Mytilus edulis: one gene and its partner. The protein of the gene in region 1 purifies or fractionates together with the protein of each later gene. This does not show direct contact. Links are inferred from orthologs where the notes say so. Each region holds a gene or a part of one and is shown on either strand. Other genes may lie near its edges.

The links.
Region 2: the proteins of zinc finger MYM-type protein 3-like (region 1) and ubiquilin-1-like purify together in Drosophila melanogaster (affinity purification with western blotting; 3 studies listed by BioGRID, with this or other methods). This does not show direct contact. The link is inferred for Mytilus edulis from reciprocal best matches to the Drosophila melanogaster genes woc and Ubqn.

Annotation. Positions count from the first base shown.
Region 1 is NC_092353.1:42,651,384-42,655,319, reverse strand, and holds the start of zinc finger MYM-type protein 3-like, read left to right. Parts: upstream 1-1,551; 5' UTR 1,552-1,777; coding exon 1,778-1,822; intron 1,823-3,364; coding exon 3,365-3,437; intron 3,438-3,936.
Region 2 is NC_092347.1:34,496,777-34,500,712, forward strand, and holds the start of ubiquilin-1-like, read left to right. Parts: upstream 1-1,443; 5' UTR 1,444-1,506; coding exon 1,507-1,614; intron 1,615-3,936.

The DNA of each region.
Region 1 (3,936 bases):
GAAAGGGGGTCCCCCTCCCTGGATCCGCCTATGATTCCAAGGACGTATATTAGATGTTAGTTATACGTCCTTTAATAGTGGTAATTTTTGTATATAATTATTCAGTTTTCTATTAAATATTTGCTAACAGTGTTGATAAAATGTTTTAAAATTTATGAACAAACTAATTCTTTAATAAAAGCATCTGGGAGTAATATTATTTGTGAAGACCCAGAAAAAATCTTGAAAATGATATTATCAAATTATGGGGAAGTAACTCTTGATAATTTTTTCGATTTAAAGGGCAGGTCGCAAGCAAACGCTTTGTTTTGGTTCGATTTCGAAAGTGAGGCTATTCGCCAGCCATTCATCATTTAAATGAGTTACCGCACTTTGAGATGCGAATTCAGAGAAAATATTAACAAGTTGAAATTACAACATGTAATGAAAATTACTTTAAACCATAGAAAAGAAGAAATTTGATTTTTAAACCGGAAGTGCTTTTGCGTTGTTGAAGTATACTGATATTTCTATATGAAGATAACTTCAAATGCAAAATATTCTTAGCTTGAAAACGTGTTTGTTTTGAGAAAAATCATCGGAAATTTGGATTAAAGTGTGTTTGAAATTTCCTGATGTTTTGTCAACGGGGGACACATATTCGCCGTTTTTACACATCTATTTAAAACCAAATATCTGTAGCTTTAAACAATATTTATTAAATAAATTTCATTATAAATGAATAGCAGACATTTTGAAAGTGTATAAAACTGAAATTTAGGGCAATCAGTCAAAGAATTACTAAGATATTCTTCTTTGAAATCTTTTCTTCATTCAGGAAATTGGCTGAAAATCGTTGTCCGTTTTTCGGTCCATTCCTGTAAGTGCTGAATGTTGGTCTCATTTTCAAAAATAATCATATTTGTTATAAAAATATAATTTACCGGCATATATTTCTTCCATTTCTACCATCCTTTGAAGTTTTTGCACCTCAAAATCTTAAAACGGCGAAATTGTGTCCACGGCGAATATGACTGAGCGCCCCACTCTAGTAGAAGTAGAAGCGAAGAAACAAATAATGATGTATAACACCATCATGTCAGTTTATCTTTGTGCAGGGACTTTCTATAATAAGTATGATCAAGTATAGACTGTCACGGTTCTGTGTTATACAGTGGCGGATCCAGAACTTTTCCTAAGGGGGGGGGGGGGGGTGACTGACCTAATGGGGGGCCCGCTCCAGTCATGCTTCAATGATTCCCTATATAATCAACCAAATTTTCCCGCGAAAGGGGGTCCCCCTCCCTGGATCCGCCTATGATTCCAAGGACGTATATTAGATGTTAGTTATACGTCCTTTAATAGTGGTAATTTTTGTATATAATTATTCAGTTTTCTATTAAATATTTGCTAACAGTGTTGATAAAATGTTTTAAAATTTATGAACAAACTAATTCTTTAATAAAAGCATCTGGGAGTAATATTATTTGTGAAGACCCAGAAAAAATCTTGAAAATGATATTATCAAATTATGGGGAAGTAACTCTTGATAATTTTTTCGATTTAAAGGGCAGGTCGCAAGCAAACGCTTTGTTTTGGTTCGATTTCGAAAGTGAGGCTATTCGCCAGCCATTCATCATTTAAATGAGTTACCGCACTTTGAGATGCGAATTCAGAGAAAATATTAACAAGTTGAAATTACAACATGTAATGAAAATTACTTTAAACCATAGAAAAGAAGAAATTTGATTTTTAAACCGGAAGTGCATAAAAAACCGCGACCAGAAGCGGCGTGGAGATGGACGAAGAGAGCGGAGAGCTATTGTCCCAGGACATAATAGAGGTTTTGTGTTATAATTTTCTTAAATTAAGCTTAATAATTAGTCCACATTATTTCAAGAAGGTCTATTTGAATGTCTGATTACACTTTTCTGTGCGTCCAGGTGGAATCAATGCGGACAGCGTGTATTTTCGAAATCGTTAAAGGGCGACAACTCCAGCGCGGCATATATTAGAAATTCAGAAAATAAACAAAAGATTAACAGGTGCTGCATAAAAAAAGTACATTATAAACTAATTTCATTATGTTGTTTCAACACAGTTTCAAGTTAAAAATTGACAGGCAAAAAGCTCCTGGTATCATGATAAATAAAAAAAAGAAGTGGACTACTTGGGGCACTACTGGATTAGTCCAAATAATTATGGCTATTATAAATTTTGATGCCTTCCACCGACAGACGGAGAAAGGCGTCCAAGAAAAAATTAAAATAGCCTTGCACGTAATAATTATTTGGACTGGCACTGGATCTGCTTACCATTACAGAGTATACACCTTATCTCTATTTGTCCGCCCTTTGACATTGCAAAGGTTCCCCGTATTATTTTTTTTAAGTACCAATAGAAAATATGTGACAACATAATGAAAGCAATTGTTGTGTGACGTCAATAAATGCTATTCTGTCCCGGTTGGCCGCTTCAACTATTGACGTCACACAACAATCACTTTCATTTATGGTTGTCTTTTTAGAAAACTGTACAGGTTGTCTTACTTATATCTGCCAACTGTCACTATTTCCCCCCTGGAGGTTCCCAAATTGAAATTTTGAAGAGCAATTTTGTCCACAATTATAAACAACCTGTACCGTTTTCATTAAAAAGACAACTAACATGACTCAGTCGCCAAAAAATTATGCCAAGTCGAAAAAATATGAAATGAAATTTACGCTTTTATTCCAAATATAGAATCACTGTGATCATAGATTATTTTCAATTGGATGTAAAGTTGTCCCCATTTATGTAAAATCATACAAGTTCCCAATAAAGTTGACATCACAATTTAAAGTAAGTTTTATTATCAATTAACATGATTAATGAAGAATAAGAGTAAGTAGAAGTTTGGCTTCACTTGACTTTGAACAATCTATTTCTGTAAATTCACCAATTCTTTCATGTAAATATATGCATCCAAGGTTATCCTGCGGTAAAATTTCATTTGCATGTACAACAATTTTATAAAACATCTATAAAAAAGAAGATGTGGTATGATTGCCAATGAGACAACTGTCCACAAGAGACCAAAATGCAAGGTTATCCTACAGTAAAATTTCATTCGCATGTACAACAATTTTATAAAACATATAAAAAAGAAGATGTGGTATGATTGCCAATAACAACTGTCCACAAGAGACCAAAATAACACAGACATTTACAACTATAATTCACTGTACCGCCTTCAACAATGAGCAAAGCCCATACCGCATAGTTAGCTTTAAAAGGCCCTGATATGACAATGTAAAACAATTCAAACGAGATAACTAGTGGCCTTATTTATATAAAAAATGAAAAAAATGTATGTTTATCAATTATGTATGTTATTTTCTTTCAGGAAACCAACACAAAACAGGATTCTGTTTCAACAGAGATTAATGGAGATCAGGAAAACTGTTCTGTGTCCAAAGGTAACCTATATGCTCAATATATATAGATAATAATATTATGATTTTTTTTCACTTATTTCTTTAATTGGTTTAATTTTATTAGGCCAAACAAGATTTATATGTGGCCTGTCTCCAGACAGTCTAAAATAGGGGAAGCAGCTGGTCAATCAATTTTGTTTTGCTTAACTGCAAATGTCTAAAAATTGTTAGGGTTAGGCATTGCAATTTATGGGAAGTTAATTTGTAAATGTAGGGAGACGGGAAACTGAACTATGTTTTGCCTAGGAAATCTACATCAAATTGTTTTCAATGAATTCTGGTAAAGAAGAAAAGGCTGTGCACAACATTTGTTATAATTATTGTCTAGTTTTCAAAAGGCTATTTTCCTTTTTTACTCTTTACATTTTCTAATTGAGCTGGTGTCAAATGTCATTTTCTTTGTTTTGACCTGTATACAATGTATATTGCAATCATTTAGAAAAGCTCCATGTTTAGAAGAGCCTGTAAATGTGACCAGTTT
Region 2 (3,936 bases), on another chromosome or scaffold:
TATAAATTTATCTTTTCATTAAGCAGTGACATATAATACAATGATAATGTGTTATATGTCTCTGCTTTAAGTAAGGATGTTTAAAAAAAAAACCAGTATTGTGTATACATCATTTTACTATGATATGTAGTACCAGTATTTGCTGTTGATTAGTTTACAAAAAATATCGTCTTGACAGGCGAAAAATGCAATGTGACATGCGATTTTGGTGGATTGCTTAAAAGAATGCAGAGATAGCTTTCTGAAAACATACTGCCGAAATAAAATTTGTAAATAGGTTAATTTCTATTCGACCTTTTTAGAGGTTGAATGTTAGGGGTCATCCATAATTGTTAACCATTTTCCAGAGTGTACAAAACGTACACTTGGGGAGGGGTTTAAAAATCAACATTATTACCGTACGTTTTTTTTTTTAAATAAAAATAAAACAGTCAGATATGGTTCAGTTTATTTTCAATGCAAATGTTTACATTAACTAAACTATAATAGGCAGGATCTTCTTTTTATTTAAAAATGATTGATTTTTGTCTTGAAATCTGAAAATGGTTGATGTACACTTTTTGAGGGAGGGTGGGGGGTCTGAAAAAGTGTATGTTTTGTGCACTTTGGTAAATGGTTGACAATTATGGATAACCCCATTTAAAGACAGATTAAGAATTCATTTATCTTTTAAACGTATTTTTGTGTTTTTCTTGAACTATATAAAGCATCTTTGTAAACAAACGTTATTTTAAAAAATCCATTATAATCAAATAATTGTCAAAAATTCAATGAGTCAAAGTGGTAAGGGTGCATAAACGGCTAAATGGTACCAAGAAACATATCATTTGCGTTAGTAAAATTTGATAAATCTTCATTAATCAAGTTTTATTAAAAATATACTTCAAATATTTCAAAAACTTCTCCAAATAAATTACGACCCTGAATTCTTCAGAAAATTATATAAGCACACAAAATTGACAATCTTGTTTTGGACTGATCAAATCAAATTACAAGTTGCCGCGGATTGGTTTATTATCTTAGACACGCGCCTCGGTCAATCACTTCTGACACTTAGTTTATCACCTAGCTAATCCAATTATCTAATTAGATATACAATCGTCCGTATCTGTAGTGGAATTGATTATCTATTTGCTCCAACTTTATTATTATAATATTTTGAAGCAAAACAATACACTAATTTCTTTTTTCAAATCAATCGTTTCTCGATCATTAAGCATTTAATAGATGTTTTGTACTTTACTCGAATCTTGTGCTATCCTTTATTTTCTTTTTTCTCAACATTAATAAAACCAAGGATTTGTATAGTTACTATACAAATCCTTGATGAAACATTGAGAAATAATGTATGAACCAATACGACCATGGCCGAACTGGTGTATGGCCGAAACGTCTCGAAAGCCCCTAATACAAAGACACCATAGCTGTTTTATAGAACACACCAACTTTAGTATGCATCAAACGCGTCATTGAATCAGAATAGTGACAGGTCAAAATACAGACATTATGGCGGACGAACGAATGGATGAGTCTCGTAAAACCATGAAAATCACGGTTAAAACACCAAAAGAAAAGCAGGAAATGGAAATAGATACTAATGCTCATGTTAAGGAGGTAAATCTATCGCTAGGAAGTTATAGAATATCCCTGAAACCTCTCTACAATCCATACATAAGATTACTTCTCTCACTGCATATGTCAATAATTCGTTATCTAGAATGTTCTATTAACAGATTAAATCTACTCAATTGCTTACATCAGCTTATCACTTTTACTAGACATTTGCATTGCTCAGCTCCCTATATATTAATCATACTTGGGAGAGACTTCTAAAACGAATCACACCCTAAACCCAGGGTTGGAAGCTGAAGCAGTGAGGGGTCAATATACAAACTGTACAACCCTTTTAATTTTGTATAAATAAAATCATTACCTACTTACATACCTGTCAACTCACCCGTTTTTTGCGGGTGACACCCGTTATTTTCACCTCTCACCCGGGAGTTTTTCTTTACCCGGCGGGTCCCGGGAATTTCTAACATTACCCGTTTCACCCGGATTTCTGACCGGAATTGTTTCCGGTATTTAGAAGTAATGCGACCTTCGGTTTTATCGGTCTTTTTCAATGTAACCAAAAGTCAAAATGTAGGAATGTTTACCTGAGCTGTGAAATAGCTTCAGGTTATTCCTGTGGAAAAACTAAAACCACCCAAATAGTAAAGAGGGCCCTTTCAGTTGAAAATAACAAAGTGGTAGTTGAAAACAAGCCAAGATTTTTTGTTTTGTCAAAACTTGCTAAAACATTACTGGTTTTGCCAAACAGCAATGCAGACAGTGAGAGGGCATTTTCTTTAGTAAAGAAAATAGCTACAGAGTGTAGGGCTGATCTTAATAAGGATACACTGTGTGCTCTTCTTTCTTGTAAAATGAATACACATTTGCATTGCTATGAACTGAAACCAAGTGCAGTTCTTTTAAAGAATGCCAAGTCTGCTACTATGGAATATAACAATAGTATGAAATAAACTTGTATACATGTTCTAACTGTTTCATATACATATTGACTATATAAATTATATGTAAACATATTTTTGTTCTTCAATTGAGCCCGCAAAATGTCGTACGCGTTATGACCTGAGATTTTTTTTCTCAATGCAGGTCATGACCTGACTTTTCATTTTCAGAGGTTGACAGGTATGTACTTATCTTAATAGGTCATTTCTGGAATCATGTCTTTCACCGGAAAATAACGTCAATTTTGCACGCTTTTATGACATCATTTACCAGATAAAAGGCGCGCCTGTATCCCTGCTCTACAATGTATTTAAAGTTTCCAGCACTTTCATAATCGTTATTCTGTAGGGTAGTATAGAAATAATTAATGTTCCGTAAGTACATAATCGTGATTGCCGTATGACTGAGGGAGGGTGACCTGACCATCCATTTAGATTTTAATTTCCCTAATATTTTGTGCAGTATAAAAGAAAATATTTTCACCTGTTTGCTCAACATATGTTGGAAATTTCTATGCATACATTTTTGTCACGTGGTGATGGAAGTCACATGACAGATTCGTCAAAATCTTCAAATGTTTCAGAGTTATTATGCACTAAACCAAGAGTTGTAATTAAATTAAAAGTATGTTGAGGTCACATGTATTGCTTTGAGACTTTACGGTCATTAATCATTTCGTCCACATGTTGTTTCAGTTACAAATGTATATACCAGTGAGGCCTTGGTTGTTAGTGTTTGTTAGTGTCCCATTTGTGGTTGTGTCACCTTTACAACAGCATACATTTTGTACAGTTGGCGAGTACTACCATGTAGTCATTTTGGTCTCTTGTAGGGAGTTGTCTTGTTGGCAATCATACAACATCTTAATTTTATATATCTAAACTACATGATTTTGACCACTTGTCCCAATAGGCCAGTTCCGGGAAACTGTTTTCAGATGAATCTGTCATGTGACTTCCATCACCACGTGACAAAAATGTATGCATAGAAATTTCCAACACATGTTGAGCAAACGGGTGAAAAAGTTTTATTTTATACTGCACATAATATTTGGGAAATTTAAATCTAAAAGGATGGTCACCCTCCCTCAGTCATACGGCAATCTCGATTATGATTTTACCAGTCAGGGGACTTACTTAAATGAGTGATTTTCTAAATCACTGATTCAAGTAACATTATTTCCATAAAGGTTGAAAGAAAGAGTTGTCTTTCTTTAATAATCACCTATTTAAGTAGTACAAAATAATCACTAGAAGAAGTGATTTAATTTTACTGTAGCTTTAAATATAGAACACTAATGATCCAGGGACTAATTATGTTTCTAAACTTATCAGAACCAACATCTGTGTTGTCTAGGATGACCAGGTCATTTCAGGTGATGACCTTGTACTGAATCTAGGATAATGACATAAAAATCACTTG